Linked DNA regions of Canis lupus familiaris. The protein of the gene in region 2 interacts with the protein of the main gene of each other region in a pairwise test. Links are inferred from orthologs where the notes say so. Each region holds a gene or a part of one and is shown on either strand. Other genes may lie near its edges. The genes, in order: RGS17 and AQP1.

Region 1 (8,281 bases), on a different chromosome or scaffold from region 2:
ATTTATTCATGATAGTCACACAGAGAGAGACAGAGAGGCAGAGACACAGGCAGAGGGAGAAGCAGGCTCCATGTAGGGAGCCCGACGTGGGATTCGATCCCGGGTCTCCAGGATCGCGCCCTGAGCCAAAGGCAGGTGCCAAACCGCTGCGCCACCCAGGGATCCCTGCTTGTTATTTTTTAAAATGTTTTTTTGTGACACAAATTTTCATATTTTATAAAGCAGACTCAAATAGAAAATCCAAATTCAGTCATTCATTTAACGCCTTAGTATTAAACATCTACTATGTGCCAAATAATATGTTATGTCAATTTATTTTACTTTAAAGTAACTTTAGTATATGTTTACAGAAATGTTCAGTACCAATTGACCACTATGAACTTTTATGAATTCAACTATTAAATCCACATAGTAAATTTTAAAGGTATTAACCCCAAAAAACAAAAACAGATGTTAAACAGGAGAATCACTAGTATGAAAACCAGTAGGGTGAGGTGGGCAGTCAAACTGGCCCTTCATGTGTTCAGCTTTGTTCAGGGCAGAGGGAGGCATGGCGATGGGTATGAACAGCACCAGCCCAATGCCAAGGTCATCTTAAACATCTGCCACATCCTGGCCCATCCAGACCCAGGTGGCCCTCACCACATTACCACATACCGTGAGTCAGCAGATTAGAGAGCTGCTCGTGATCCTGACCCAGAAGTGACTTCAAGTCAACTGGGGCACCTGGGCCAATTCACATGCCTGTGCAGGGCCCTGTTCTAGAGTGTACTTCCAACCACTATACCTACAGTATATTTTGTATCAGCCTCTGGGCTTCTTTGCTAGAGCGAGGCTCCTCTCTCTCCCACTGTGAGGATACTCCTCATTTCTTTGGAACTCCCATTCCACGTCAAACATGCTTCTGTGTTCTCAGCCTTCTGTAGCCCATGTTCCTGCTCTGGCCCCTACCTGGCACCCAGCTCTCTGTTGGCAGTGCCTCTCTCAGGCAGCTCCTCCCACAATCCCCTCAGGGCAAGGTGGGGGCTGGCATTCCTCTTCCACATTCTGTGAGGCTTAGGGCATCTGACTTTCCCCTTTTCTTCTTCTCCATATCCTCTTATAGCTTTGTGATTCCTTACCAGGTTCCTCATACCAGACTCTCTTTCTGACTCTCCACTCAGGGGAATCATACCCTCGGTATCCCCAGCAGCCAGCAGGACACTTTCATGGTTTCCTCACCAAACCAGCTGGCTGTGAGCTACCTTTCCTTCTAAGCTGCCCCTTGCCTCCTTCTGACTTGAATTAATTTAATTTTCTTTTTCCAGCCCTTCTCTGGCTCACTCTTTCTATTTTTCTAAATGAGACTGGGCATAACATTTTCATACATTATTCTGTTTTATACACATACATCTTTCCATTGATGATCTAAACACTGCCACGTGATACTCAAAAACCTTCACAGTAAACACAGAGTCAAAAAGAGTATCAATGGCATGCCTTCAATGGAAAAGGATCAAGGCATTCTAATTCTTGCAGTTTCCAATAGATAGCACTCTGGTCATACATAACACAGACTTGGCAGAGACAGTTTGAATACCAAGCTTTCTAGAGGGTGACCGCTCTGGATTCAACGGCTTATTGAGAATTTATTCTCTGTCTATGTAGAGGCAGGGAAAATATAGTGAAAGCCAATGAAGTACAACTATATCAGGCAATAGTAGGCATTCAATAAATTCAATAAATTGTAAAGAAGGTCCATGGTCCTAATGTCCACTTTTTGATTTTGTGGATATGGTGTGGGAAACTAGGGTTTGTTTTAGTAGATGGCTTTTGATTGTGCGAGTTTTAGGTTTATGCAAGTCACAGAAACTTTTGAGGAAATTCACCTATGCCATGGTGAGATGAGTTTCAAAACTGTAGAACTGTTTGTAAGTGATACTTATGATGATGGAGTACTTCGGCAGCCTAAGGCACATAACTTACGCTCCCATGTGAGATGAATCAGGTCTCTGAGTAGGACAGGTACAGTGTTTATCACTGTAGCCTCAGATGAAATGATTCACCTTGCATGTGTTAGCAGATTTATTTCCAGGGGATGGTTTCCTCACCATGGAGCAGATGCGTATTTTGTTTTTTCTTTTGAAAAATAATCTTTGGCTTTTGAAGCATGTATTGTATTATTTTCATGGCACACAGCTAAAATGTGACAGCATCAGAGGATAAAATAGGACATGATTTTTGCCCTGTTTTGAATTCAGAAACTGGGGTACTTGTTAAGAATAGAGGGAGGGGCAGCCAAAAGCATGTTTATGAAGTGTTTAATGTTTACTTAGATCTATCCCATGGTCTAGGAATTCTGCGAAGTCATGTATCTAAAAGGGAGAGAATGAATTTTAGCTTTCCACAGGGCTAATTTCAGTTGTGGTGGGACAACTTCTCCTGAGGAGAATGAAGAATATCCAATGCAGTGGGCCAAATCTTGTTAACAGTGGTGTATGAGACTATTAATTCAATCTGAAAACTAAGAAGCTTTGGAAATGGTTCATATCAAACCTGGAAATGAAAAGTTTGGAAGTGTCATCTTCAAGTGGACAGAACAATGGACTGGATATTAAGAGACTTGCATTTTAGTTTCACTTCTGTCACTAATGAGCTTCTTGAAGGTAGGCAAGCTTCAGTTTCCTTATTTGGAACATCAGACACAGCATTTTCCAGACATCATTTTCTAACAAGGCCATTTTTTCTTCCAGCCAAAAGCATGGCGTGCCTGAGTAGTGCAGTCGGTTAAGTGTCCAACTTTTGGGTTTGGCTCAGGTAGTGATCTCAGGGTCGTGAGATCCAGCCCCGTGTTGGGCTCCATGTGGAGTCTGCTTAAGACAGTCTCTCCCTCTCCCTCTGCTCTTCCCCTACCCTCTCTCTCAAATAATCTTTAAAAAAAAAAAAAAAAAAGCTTATACCTAAGTCTAATATGTAAAATAGCTAGACAGAGCCATTCCTTTGGAAACTAGAAGCAGAGAGCCCAGGGCTGCAGATCCCAGCCCCAGACCCCCCTGGAGTCATCCCCTCACCTCCACCACACGGCATAAGAAGTCAATAGGACCATTCTGGAGAGATGAGAGCTGATGTCTCTTGAGTTCTGATTTTTCATGGTTGACCATGGAAATCTGTCTTGCTTGATAGGACACAACCAGGAAAACAAGAAATCAAAAAAGGGATGGATTAGCACCTAAAGATTTCTTTGAAAAACATTTTAACATAACCTCTGATGTTAGGAGAGAGCTCATGGGACAATTTGGAAATAGACATAAATTTTGAAGGCTCTACTTTCCATTTCCTTCTTGAGGCACTTTGCTTTCAGGAGCCCACAGCAGTTTCTACTTTGAGATGGCACACAGTGTGCCATCTACAGTGCATTGTGTGGCAGGGGCCTCACTGCCCTCTACTGTCCTAGAGATGGCAGTTTGGTGGAGAGCCCACAACTTTCAAAGACTTCTTTCTCATCAAGAAAAGGGAAGAGGGTTAATTACCTCTGTATGAATCCAGACATAAAAGGAATATTAAGTTTTCATAGTGGCAGCCTTGAACTTTTAGACAAGTGGTCTTGACAAAATCCTCTTTCCTTCTGGTCAGTACTAAGCATAGTCCCACATATAGAAGGACTTGTAAGTTTATACAGGGTTTATATTGTGGCCAAAACTCAGACCTCCGTGATTCATTCATGTTACAACAACTAACATGCTCTAAACCACATTCCCTTGTTTTCTCCCCTTGAAATGTAAGGCTGTGGGGAGAAAAGAGAAGTAGACTGATCTGAAGACAGAAGTGTTTCCTTGAAAGGAACAGAGAACAGATTGGCTTAACAAGTCATTACAGATTAAGTCTCAGCTTTTTAGACTTTGGAAGGAAACCGTGGAAATATTCAGCAGTTTTGTACTTAATCTCTATATCATCCCCCACCCCCAAAAGCACAGTGGTCATTTTATTACGACACAGTTAAGTTTAAATATGGGAGAGGAGCTGATGCTGAACTATGAAAGATAAATGCAAATTTGAGGGAAACACTATGATGTTGAAAAGATCCATAACATTGAAGGCCAGGGTGAGGTTTTGTATTTATTACTCGATATAGAAATTTACTTTCCTAGCATTTTATTTCCTTAAAAGGAGGAGAAATCAGCTACGTGACAACTGCTCCTTTTTACAAATGATAGTTACTTCCTATTTTGATTTCTAACTTTATTTTGGTCCCTAAGTTTAACATTTTTTAGTGTTTCTTTCTATTCTGCTCCTCTGACCTAGCCTGGAAAATTTGAAGAACATTTATTTCTTTTGTTTTCCCACTCTAATAAGGCTTTAAATATTTTTTCTTAAACCCAAAATAGAAAAATGATATTTTCAAAATGCATTTATTAAGGAGATTCTCATTTGCAATGAGATAACACTGTCACAATTAGAATCCATAGTTCAAGACGATTTTATTCTCATTTTTTTCAAGTTGTTTACATTAGAAATTACCTCTGATTTATCATATATGGAAGAGTTTATACATTTATAGACTGTGTGCTTTATGGCTTAGACTCAGGCACCCATGACTCATTGCTAAAAAACACAGTTCTCGACAAGGACACTTAAGTCTAGAACTCAGAGCCCTCATCCAGTGCACCAAATGTTTTAAGCTCAAATAGGCATCAACTCAGAGGTGTGGAGAGTTCATGCAGCTTCCAAAAGCTGTTTTGTTTTCCATCCATAGTCCGTTTTCTGTGACAATCTCATGCTCATGAGCTCATACTGAATGTTTTGTTAGTGTGTTCTTTAAGATTAATAAAAGCAAGTCTCACTAAATATATGCAGGAGAGGGAAAAAAAAGGAAATGTCGCCAAATAGGTGTTTGACAAGCAAATGAATATAGCGCAACACAACTTCCATACTCCTTATCTGTTTTGATGTTATAATCCTGAAGCAATTCAGAAATAAATTTTGGCAGGTAAATAAAATCATATACTGATTCCTGGAACATAGCCATAGTACAAATGAGAAATAGAAACATAATCTCCAACACTATGTAACAATATATTTGGGATGTCTCTTATAGAATCTAAAATAAACTAGCTTTCCTTTTGAAGATTAGTTTTTATATTATATTCATAAGTAGATCTTTAAAAAATACATATACATTATTTCAAGCGAGCTCCTCTTTAAGGAGATTTTATTTTCTCCAATATGAAGTGTTCTATCCAGTGAGCTAATTAATGCAAGAGAGAGAATGAGAGCGAAAGAAAGAGAGAGAGCACGAAGGCAGAGGTGGGAAGGTACAGAGGGAGAGAGAATCCCAAGCAGACTCCATACTGAGTGCAGAGCCTGATGCAGGGCTCAATCTCATGACCCTGAGATCATGACCTGAACCAAAACCAAGAGTAGGACGCTTAACTGACTGTGTCACCCAGGTGCCCCCAGTGAGCTATCTCTTAGATGCATACAATGTGTCAGGCACTGTTTTCAGCCTGTGTTTTATTTCATTTAATGTACAACAACCTGATGAAGTAGGGATTCTTATGACTGTAATTTGATATATGAGGAATTTGAGGACATTAAAATAACCTGTTGAAAGTCAAACAGATAGCGAGCATGAGTCAGGCAGTCTGACTTCCAAACCACCATATTAAGGCATTACGCTTTACTTCATGGATTCAGACCAAAGTTAAATGATCTCTTTAGGAGTGATAAAGGAAAAAATATTCACAATTTTATTGAAATATTTCCTTCTTCTAAAACTCTATTTCCTCCACCTGAAATAGTGAAGGCTTAAAAATGAAAGAAAAGGAGTCACTTATGACTTTCCTTAACAAAGAATCATCATCTGGGAAGCAGTTTTGATATTTATAAAAACTAAACCTTCCAAGTTACTAAAATGTCTGATGGTTTTTTGGAAATGAAGGTTCCTAGAAGGGATAGAGCTTGTTCAACACCAACACTACCACTAAAGCGTAGCACGTTTCATCTATTTTGGCCACAGTGATAGAATATTATGCCACCAAATAATACCAATAACTGTAGAGATCATATACAAGAAGATGATTCAAGCCTTTGGGCCTTTCTTCAGAGTTTTGACATAAGTCAGGGAGATCCAGAAGACCACTAACTAATTCAGAAGATCCACTTGTGAATTGGATTTTTTTTTAAACCATTTTATTTATTTATTCATGAGAGACACAGAGAGAGAAGCAGAGACACAGGCAGAGGGAGAAGCAGGCTCCCTGCGGGGAGCTCAATGTAGGACTCGATCCCAGGACCCCGGGGTCACCGCCTGTGCCAAAAGCAGATGCTCAACCACTGAGCCACCCAGGCCCAGGAGGCCCAGAGGTGTCCCTGTGAATTGGATCTTAAAGGATCCCAAAACTTATGGTTCTACGGAAAATTTTCATTAAGTCCTGCATCCCTCTGGAGAATCTCATCCATATAAATCTTAGGACTGTGAGTCATTGATTTTCTTACTGGAAGGCACTTGGGGAATTTGGAACTGGAGCAGGTTTTCTGAGGTGCCTGCATCATGGACATTTAGTACTACACAGGACCTTGGGAATCAGCTTGTCTAACTTCATCATTTTGCCAATGAGGAAACCAAATAGCAGAGTTTAAAACTGTGTATGATGTTACAGAACGTGTCAGTGATAAAATCACAAAGGAAAGCATGTTTGCCAGCTGTAAGTTCAGAAACTAGTTGACTGACTTTATGCCCATCATAGCCCTGGCCTTTTAGATTTGTGGATATGGGTCTGTGGTACTTCTTTCTCTGTCCTTTTTCAGGTGTCTGTGGCTGAGAGTGCCACCCTGACTCACAGTTTTGTGGCTCTGTAACTGAATGATCAATATCCTGTGAAACAGCATATAACTAAAACACAACATTGAATGCGATGTACAGTACTGCTAGATATTATCTTAATGTCCCTGTACCTTCTGGAACCCTGGAGAATATTGTGTATGTTTAAATAAGTATATAACCATAATCTTATTTTTACCATCTCTTTAAGATGTGTGGATAGAGAAAAACAGGATATCAAATAAGTTTTCATTGTTTACCTTACTCTCAATTTAAATGTAGTTTCTGGGGAAATATTCTATTTCCAATGATGGTCTCCAATAATTCCTACTTGTGAAGGAGGAAAAGGAGATCCCAAGAATGAACATGCAAATTCACTGTAGTCAGCCCCCAGCTAGCTCAGGGGTGCTATCCTACAGAGAGTGCCACATACCAGGAGCAGCTGCAGCAACAGCACCAGCAGAAGCAACACGTGTTGTTGGGCCTCTGGTTTCCAGGCGCTTGGGACACAGCAGGTGTTCCTTCATTTTGTGACTGCTGTCTTTTTCGCATTTCAGCTACTTTCGTACCCAACTGGCTGAAAGAAGAGAGAAAACAAAAGGTATGAAAAAACTAAAAGAAAGATACATTGCTTAGGCTGAAGGGAACGTAATTTAATTGGGATGGGAGATAAATTAAGAGAAAGAAAAAAAAAACAAATAACTTTAGCAGTCAAATTAAAAATTCTCAAAAAAATTTTTTTTTTATGGGGTGATGGGTGGCTCAGTTGGTTGAGTATCTCCTTCAGCTCAGGTCATGATCCCAGGACCCAGGGATCTAGCCCTCATCCCTGCTAAGCAGGGAGCCTGCTTCACCGCCCCCCCCCCCCCGCCTGCCACTCCCCCAGCTTGTATGCTCTGTTGCTCGCTCTCGCGCGCACGCTCGCTCTCTCTCTCTGTCAAATAAATAAATAAAATCTTTAAAAATTTTAGGAGACTATCTTACAAACTTCAGGGACAAACTTCCACCACTATCTGCTACGTAAAATTATCATAACAACGTTGCCGTGCAGGAACGGCACGGGTAGCCGTGGGTAGCTACCCTGGGTAGCTCAGCAGTTGAGCACCTGCCTTTGGTTCAGGTAGTGATCCCTGGGTCCTGGGATCCAGTGCCCCATCGGGCTCCCCACGGGGAGCCTGCTTCTCCTTCTGCCTCTGCCTCTCTCTGTGTGTCTGTTATGAATAAATAATTAAATCTTAAAAAAAAACAAAAAACAAACCCCCCCCCAACATTGCCACATAATCAAAATCAGTTGGTAAGGTAAATAAGACAAGGTTGGAAGATTTATGTTTAACTTCTTTCTTTACTCAAGAATGATTTCATCCACTTTCCTTGGTGAACACTTTTAAATGACTGTAGCAGGGGTACATAACTTGTTTCTCCACTGGTGTTTACAGTCAGGTTCACTGAGTTTTACAAAGCAGGTTGCAAAGTTTCTAACTA
Region 2 (8,728 bases):
CTTCGGGAAAGCTTCCCTGAGCCAGTCCCCACAGTGTGGGCATGAGGCAAGTTTGACCCGCCTGGGGGAAGCCCTGGTGGCTAATGCTGAAGGAACCCCCACTGGGTGGGGCCCCAGAGAAAGTGGGGAGCACTCGGGCTGAGCTCAGGTTGGGTGGGGGTGCTCCATGGAGTCGTCCGCACTGAGCAGTGTGAGCAGGAGGCTGTGCCCTGGGGGCCGGGGCGGGGAGGCGAGTCCCCGCAGACTGAGCGCTCCAGCGGGGCACGTCCCCTCGCAGGGCATTGCGCTTTCAGAGCAGGGGCTGCCAGATTGAGCCCTGGTTAGGGCCGAGCTCTGGGGTGGGCCGCATAGGGCTGGCGAGGCTGCTCCAAGGGCCCTCACAGGGGAAACTGCCTCAGAATTTTCCGTGGTGAGGGAAGTCTCCACCACAAAGCTCCTGCCTCTCTACGCCCTCCCCCTCATCTGGTTCTGGCTGGAAACAGTAATTATAGGTCCCGGCTATGGCACACCACCCAGCCCCCAGCCCCCTCTCCGGGCACGTCCATCTGAAAACTGGCTTTCCTTTCCCTAAGCCACCCCAGCCCTGGAGGAGGCTGCAGAGGTCGGGGAGCGGGGGGCCCTCAACCCTGGAAGAACTCGGGGCCCATGTAGGCGACAGGGGCCAACAGGGAAGGGACGACCCGCCCACCCTGTGGTTGGGGAAACCGAGCCTCAGGAAACTGAGGAAGGGGAGAGTTTAGGGCTGAGGTCAGGCCCCGATGTAGCAGAGAGAAGCGGTCCCCAGGCTCAGGCCCAGAATCAGCAGGGCTGAGAGAAGACCCCGAAGAGAGAAGGCCTGAGCCCGCAACACCCCCCTGCCGGGGTGGTGCTGAAATCACCGGCTGGGGGACCGCCAGGCATCCAGTCCCCTCTAGGACACAGGGAGACCCTGGCCCGAACCCCAGCCCTCCACTCTCCAGAGCCGCAGCCTCCCACGGGTTCCCCCACCCATCGGCCACCCTGACCTCCCATTGCCACCTTGCCTGTGCTCACACCCTTTCTCCGCCTGGAAGCCCCTTTCCTGGGCCATTCAGGCTCCTGTGGCACCTCCTCCCTGAAGCCTTCCTGGCCCTCCCCATTGCTCAAAAGCAGACGTTCTCTTCCGCCCTGACACCTCTTATCACAACTGCCTCCTGCCCCATATCGCGGGCAGCTGTGCGTGGGGCTTATCTTCCCCGCCAGGGGCCTTGGTCGGTCCAGGGGTAGGGAGCTGGTTGGTTGACTCAGCCCCTGGGGGGCCCCCAGCGGCCCCAGTCTGGTTAACAGGGAGCATGGGTGAGGGAGTCAGGAGAAGAATAAGAGAGCTGGCTATGAGCGTCTTTCGTTTCCCAGCGCCCAGCCACGCCCTGCGGTCCCTGTTTCACACATGGACTGGGCCACACAGGCTAGGCTGCTGGCATGAAGCGCGTCAGCCTCTGGCTAGGGCAGGGTCAGACGGGGCCACCGACCCCTGCCTCCGACACTCTTCACTTTGGGTCAAAATCGAGGTTTGGCTCTTAGAACCACCCGGGATCCTCCAGGCTGGACAGAGGCCCGTGATCTCTCCAGGGCGTATCCTAAGCCCTGACTCAGTGAGAAGAAAGTTGTCCCCACCATGCCCCCGGGGGACACCCCCTGACTCACCCCAACCGCTTCCTGCCTCCTCTTTCCCTATTTTTCTGAGGAATCTCCATGCCAACAAAGGTCTCCACCTAGATTTGGGCCAGGGTGGGGCCCAGGGCCCAAGGGGCTGTGGGAGCCTCCCTCTGAGCCTGGGGGAAAAAGTGTGTCACTTGCTGCAGAGACCGGTCTCTGCCTCTCTTGAGGCATCAGGGCCACCTGCCAGGAACTTCAGATGCCTTCACATCGCAGGTCCAGCGTCTGACAGGAGCCCTGGGAGAGATGCTTTCTGTTTCTAGGCCCAGACTTTGGAACCCCAAACCTCCCTGGTGTAGACAGGACAGTGCCTGCACCCCACCACAACACTCAGGAATCTTATGGTCAGCGAGGCCCCCCGTGGGCTCCTCTTAGCCAGACCCTCCTGGGAAGGGTGATAAACACAAGTCCCCAGAGTGAGCTTGCTGGTGGTTTAGGAGGGGCCAGGAAATATCTATAAAGACCTAGGTTCCTTCTTGGAGTCTCAGGATCCTCAGCTCCAGGAAAACGCAACAGGTTAGCAGCAGACAGGACGTGAGCCCGGCGTGCTTGTCCCCGGCAGGAGCCTGTCCCTTTATCTCCCCCAGCTGCCAACGGCCCAGCCAGGCATCTGGGCGACTCTGCAAAACGGAGGCCGGGGCAGGGAAGGGACACTGGAGCAGGCTGCGGCCAGACGAAGATGCCACGGTAGGCGGCCACCCTCCCGGCACCTACCCGTGATGCCCGAGTCAGAACGCGACGTCTGCCCACAGATGCCTGTCCTGCCTGTCCCTGGAGAAGGAGGGTCAAGACAGGGCAGGGGCCTGCGGACATTCAACCCCTCCCCAACGGGCACCTTTTCGCCACCGCCCGCCCTGCCCACCGAGCCGGCCACGGCTGAACCTGACCCCACCCGGGGGTCACTCCCCGGAGTCACCTGGCCCTGCCCTCTGGAGAGCCTGCCGGAGCTCTCGTCCCTTCCACCCACCTCGGCCACCACGTTCTTCGACTAAAGTCTAAACTCCAGCCCGCGGGCTAATCTTCAATCTTGGGCCGAGCAGCGGTTGGCTCCGCGAGGGGGCCGGGTAAGGTGTCACTGTGACACAAGAAGTGCTAATCCCCCCCAGCCCGAGCCAAGGCCTCGCCAGCTGCCCTCTGCACCAGGCCTTACCAAGCCTCCCCGCAGCTGCAGCGCCAGGATCTGAACTTTGGCTGGGAAGCGGGACAACAATCGCTGTAATCCCGGGCCGCGGTCTCTGGGGCCCTGGGCTGGCTCCCTCCCGGTCCCTGCCCCCGCCTGCCCTGCCCAGGCCCCGAGCCCCGATTCTGCAGATCTGGTTCCTCCCGTGTGCTCGTGCGCCACTCCCCTGTCCCGGGAAGGCACCCTCCGAGCCTTCCTCAGCCTCTCTCAGGCCAAGCCTCCCCCCGCCGCGGTGGCCCCGGGCTGGGTCTGAGTTTGCACTTGGCCGAGGGTCTGGAAAAGCCCAGGTCTGCGACAGCAGGCAACTGCCGCCAACGGCCAATTAGCTGTGCTAAGCGGCCCGGGAGGAATTCTTTGCAGCAGCCTGCCACCCACTCACCAACATCTGCTCACCATTAGTGCCCCCGGCCCAGACCCCATTGGGGCCAGGGGCAATGGGCATGCACAGGTACACACTCACCGCCCCCCGCCCCCGCCGCCCACTCACACGGCTGCACTAACACTCGCAGACCCACGGGAGCGCACAGCTTACACAAGCCCGGAGACCCATGCCAGCATCCACGTGCACACACCGTTCACACACACAAACACACGTGCCACACCTCACGGTGCCCGGCGACAGAGAGTGGAGCCCAGACGGGAGGCGAGATGTCCCCACCCTGGCCACCACCCCTACTGTAATCCAGGAAAACCACCTGCAAACCAGCCAGAATGTTTTCACCTGCCCCCACCGCACCCCCGCTGCCCCGCAGCTTCATCTAACTCTCGGGGACCAAGGAGCAGGAGGGGCTTTTTCCCTGAAGGCAGTTTGTTTGGGGACCTGTGTGAATATGGGGCGGGCTGAGGGTCCGTGTGGCCACCCATGGGTCCTGCTCATGCAGCTGCTGACCCGCGCCAATGTGCCAGGCACCCAGCTTCGGGGGGCTGGGGACAGCGGGCAGCGTGTCCCCAGGGTCCAGGCTGTAGGAAGAGGGAGCTGGCTGCCCCGGCCGGGCAGAGTGGAGACCTAGAAGCTACAGCCGAGGGGTGAGGAGCTGCTGTCCCCACAATTGGTAGCTGCCTCCAGAGCTGATTCCCCACGATAGACGCCTGCAGGGGACACTGGCCAGACTATTATTCTCTGGGTCTCGGCTTCCCACGGTGCCTGGTAGGAAACGGGCTCTGGGCTGCAGGTGTAGCTGAGTTCCAGCCCCAAGTCCTCATGACCTCCAGCCAGCTCGTGCCCTCTCTGCTCCTCGGTGTCCCCATCTGCACAATGGGTGAGGATGAGACCTATGCCGCGTGTGCTCTGCTCCAGAGCCCAGCACCTGGGGCCACCCCACGTACCTCGTTTCGGCCGAGGGAGTTGTCCGGAAGGGAGGAGGTGATGCCCGAGAGGATGGCGGTGGCCACGATGGCCCCCACGCACTGGGCGATGATGTACATGACAGCCCTGAGGATGCTGATCTGGCAACTGAGCAGCAGCCCCAGCGTGACAGCTGGGTTGAGGTGGGCGCCACTAATGTGGCCCACGCTCTGGGCCAGGGTGGCAATGCTCAGCCCGAAGGCCAGTGACACCTTCACGTTATCCTGGGCCGCACCTGCTGTCTGGTTGTTCCTCACCGGGTAGTTGAAGCCCAGGGCAGAACCGATGCTGATGAAGACGAAGAGGATCATGGCCAGGAACTCGGCCACCACCGCCCTCCAGAAGAGCTTCTTCTTGAACTCGCTGGCCATGCTGGCAGGGGGCTTGGCTTGAGACCGCTGCCTGGTGCTCGACTCCCTCCGAGAGCTGAGCCACAGCCCGGGCTGGGCCTATTTATAGGGCCCGGGGGGAGGAGAGGAGGGGGGGGAGCACAAAGGGAGGAAGGCCTCTCCTTGCTCCTGGCCCGCCCCGCACTTCACGGGCCTCCTCTCAGCGATGGATGCAGACACAGCTCTGCTGTCGGCCTGCCAACTTTTTTCCCTCCCTCCTCTCCCCCCTCCCTCCCTCTCTCCCTCCGCCCTCAGCCCTGCCCAGCCCGAGGAGGCAGGCGGGAGGCAGCCACTGCTCTAATAGGCTTTGGGAAATTCCTCCAAGTTGGCCCCACTCAGGGGGCCAGAGAAATCCAGGTGTCCCCGCCCTATGTGCGGAGCTCAGGGGTGTCCATGGGCAGAGCCAGAAGCTCTGGATGGTGCAGGGTGGGTGGGTTGGACTCCGCAGGTGGACTTTGCCTTCCCGAGAAGTGGGGCACCATGATCCTGCTCGCCCGGCATCCCATCCCATCCCGGAGTGGCGTTATTCTGGACAGCACGGGTCCAGGGGTCCCCAGGGGCATTCTGGGTCTCCCACACCCTGGCCCAGGCCTGGCTACAAGATGTCACCTTAGGGATGCCCCAGGGGCCCAGCACCACTGGCCAGGCCCAGTTGATGGGGACACAGAGGCATTAGGAGGCACGGAGAGCTTGTCGGTGGCCCACCCCGCACTCTGTGGTCAAGGGCAGGCCCGAGATAGGCAAGTAGCCACTCTGGGAGCCCTCATTGCTCCAGAAGCAATTAGAACCAACGATAGCAGGGCAGGTGGAGAAAACAGAGGCAGTTCAGGATTTTCCTCTCCAGGGCTGCATGCTGGCAGACCCCAGGGGGCGAGGGAAGGAATGGCCAGGTAGCCTGGAGACGGAGGCAGAGACGAGAGAAGGAGAGAGGACACAAGACAAAGGGAGAGGCAGAGAGACAGAGTCAAAGGGCAAGTGAGACGAGCGAGATCTCAGGCCAGGCTGAGGAGGAGAGACAGCCAGGGAGCAGAGACGGGGAAGAGACAAACCTGACAGAGGAGACGCCACTGGAACCAGCAGAGGCACGAAGCAAGAGGGGAAAGGTGGGGTGGGTGGGGAAGAGGCCGGCCCGCAGACCCCTGCCCCCAGCCCCTGCCCTGCACGCCGCCAGCCAGAGGCCCGACAGCAGCCGGTAAGCTGTGCAGGCGCCCGGACTCCCCCAGGCAGGGGGCTCCTGCCGGCCGCCTGCCCAGTCGGTGTGCAGCGAGGGCAAGAGCAGCCAGGCGGGGCCGGGAGGGGGCGAGGCCAGGCCCGGGAGGGAGCGGCCCTCTCTGGGCCTCTCCTCCCACCTCCCGCCCGCCTCCCCGGTCCCCCACGGCTGTGTTGGCGTCTCCCCATTTTACAGCTGGCAGATCGAGGCCCAGCCGGGGAAGGACATCCCTGAATTCTGCACGCGCCCGGGGCGGGGCCAGGATGAGCCTGTGGCCCTTACGGCTCCCTCCCGAGCCCACCCGCAGTGCACACCCTGCAGTGCACACCGCAGCCACCAGGGATCAGCCTGGGATTCGCTGGGAGCAGGAGGCCCACCGGGGGTGGAGGTGGCGTAGCTGTGGCCACCTAAGTACACTTGAGTGCCTGTAAGTACAGGATGGAGTGGATGCGAGGCAGGGAGTCCGTACAGTGGCCGGTGAGCCCTGCGTGCTCCGAAAGCCCCAGCGGCCAGAGGTCATGTGTGCCTTATTAACCATCCAAGAGAGGGACCCAGCCAGACGGGGCCACTTCCCAGAACCTCCTCCACTTCCTTTCTTCTGGGCAGCACTTGTTGCGCTGTCCACGCCCCAGGAGCCTCCTTCACGCCCTGGCCCTGGGCATTCAGAGTGTCCAGGATCCTGTCCGCTGAGCTTCCTGGCCCTGATGGGGCCCACGTCTGTCCCCGCCCTCCAGCTGGTGGGGGATGAGTTGAGGACTCAGCTTGGAGGCAGCAGGCCGAGGCCGGGCACTAGACCCACAAGGGCCAGGGGACTCAGGCCAGCGTGGGGGGTACGGCATCTCAGAGGCAACAGGAGCCTGGGCATGCTACGGCTTCAGCGACAGGGTCCACAGGCCAGGTCAGGGCCCACGTAGCTGAGGATGCTTGATGTGCCACTATGCATGAGGATGAGAGTCACGTGGGGTGTACTAATTTATTCACCAAATATTTACTTAGCATGTGTCCTGTGCCATCCTGTTCTCAGCACTGGGGAGACGGCCACATGCCAGCGAGCCCAGCTTCTTGGCCTCCTGAAGTTTACAGTCTAGCATGAGCCTGCAGGCCCTGTGCCCCCGCTCTGGGCAGTGGAGCTTGTCACCGTGCAGGGCACGTGTGCATGAGTGTGTACTTGCCAGAGGTCCACCTCCTTCTGGAGCAGGGCAGGATCAGGGGGACAAAAGTGCTTTTGCCAGGGCAGATTAGGCACCTGCCAATCTCAGGATGACGTGAGGGTCCTCAGGACAACACCCCAGAAAACCACAGTATCTCCTGCCAACCCCCCATGCCGGCTGGGCCTCTGCCTCGAATGCCACACACCAGTAGAGTTCCGTTCCCTCAGGCAAAGGCATTGCCATCAGCAGAATGCAGAGGTCTCCGCAGTAATGCCCACCTACTCACCCACCATCTCCCACAAAGCAAGGGGGCCTGTGTAGCCCCGACCTGCTGATTTCAGTGTGGAAGGGAGAAGGCCTGCCGCTGGAGCCCCCGCCCCAGGAAGGCCGCAGAGCCCATGACCTTCCTCTCCCTGGACGCCACAAATCCTGCCCAAGTAGGGAAGGAAGGGAGAGAGAGAAGGAGGAATGAAGAGAGAGAGAAGGAAGGAGGGAGGGTGGAAGGAAAGAGCCTCTGGTGAGGGCTCATCGTCACCACACCCCTGGGATGCTCCGATGGTAAATGATTTGCCAAAGAACAGCAGAGCTGCGATTAGAACTCAGTACCCCCTAATTCCCAGAACCCCAGGCTGGTTCTCTGGCTGTCAGGAAAGGCCCCTGATGGTCCCAGGTACCAGTTGGAAACCCGGTAACAAGTTCAGGACTGAGGCACCCAGGCCCCAGGATGGGCAGGGGATATGGGGGGAGAAGTGGGAGGACCCTCTGCAGCTTTTCTGTGTAATGAGGTGCGGTGAGGGGTGGGTGGGGAAGGAAGCACGGACTGAGGGGACACACAGAGAAGCTTGGGCTCTGAGGCAGGGTGCGACCTCCTCCCAGCTCCTCCTCCGCTGCGGCCGGACTCTGGTGAGCTCCGTGTCCCTCCCACGGGCAGCGGCCTGGGCCCAGCCACCAGATCCGCGGGCCTGAGCCAGGCTAAATAAGAGGGGCCCGCCCCCACCCACCCCCCAGCTCCGAGCCCAGGGCGGGGCCCGAAGCCGCTCGGGCCGGGCACTGTCTGGCCCTCCTGGAGCAGCCGTCTCGGAAAGCGTTTTTCCAGATGTGCCTTATTCCCGACGAGCCCGGCGAGACCCACTTTCCAGTCGGAGCTGGTTGTTCCCAGGACAGTCTGGGCTCTAGCCCCGCCAGGATCCAGTGGGAGAACCTCAGGCTTTGTCCAGAGATGGGTGCACAGATCCCCAGATGCACGCTAAGGAGTGGGACCTCGGGCTGTGTGGGGAGAAGACACCCACGGGCGTGGCCGCAGCCACCAGTCTCTTCGCCAGAAGCTTCTGTGGGGCACAAGACAGAGGGGCCGAGGGGGATGGACCCTCCCTACGGGCAGGGCAGGGATTTCCCACCCACAGGCCAGGTCGTGGGAAACAATGACTTCATTCCCTCCGGGAGGCCCACCAGGAAGATGGAGTTTGAGGCGGAAGGGCCCTCTGATAGCAGTCTGGCCAAGACCTTGCAGTCACCACCAGCTCACCAGCAGGCTGCATGAATCTTCCAGAATCGCTCAGGCTTTCCTGAACGGAGGCAGAGCGCGCTAACGGAGGGTGGGAAGACAGGACAAGGTCCTGGGGAGGGGGTGAGAAATAACAGAATGCCTTTTCCCAGCAATGCCCCTCAACAGGGTGCTCAGCGCATCCCTCCCCTGCCCTTGATCTAGGACCTTCCAGCCCTGGCTCTTGGCTGCACAGATGGGGCCTGCTCCCCCGCCCCCGCCACCACCACCACTGC

The links.
Region 1: the proteins of AQP1 (region 2) and RGS17 interact in binary tests that used the Homo sapiens proteins (3 or more experiments, as listed by UniProt). The two-hybrid records come from large-scale screens. The link is inferred for Canis lupus familiaris from reciprocal best matches to the Homo sapiens genes AQP1 and RGS17.

What each region holds. Positions count from the first base shown.
Region 1 is NC_049222.1:43,598,144-43,606,424, forward strand, and holds part of RGS17 (regulator of G-protein signaling 17), read right to left. Parts: intron 7,377-8,281; 5' UTR 7,352-7,376; coding exon of another isoform or gene 7,327-7,351; coding exon 7,233-7,326; intron 3,155-7,232; exon of another isoform or gene 3,151-3,154; coding exon 3,051-3,150; intron 1-3,050. UniProt on the Homo sapiens protein: Regulates G protein-coupled receptor signaling cascades, including signaling via muscarinic acetylcholine receptor CHRM2 and dopamine receptor DRD2.
Region 2 is NC_049235.1:43,682,181-43,690,908, reverse strand, and holds the start of AQP1 (aquaporin-1), read right to left. Parts: upstream 4,602-8,728; 5' UTR 4,571-4,601; coding exon 4,181-4,570; intron 2,808-4,180; exon of another isoform or gene 2,389-2,807; intron 2,295-2,388; exon of another isoform or gene 1-2,294. UniProt on the Homo sapiens protein: Forms a water channel that facilitates the transport of water across cell membranes, playing a crucial role in water homeostasis in various tissues.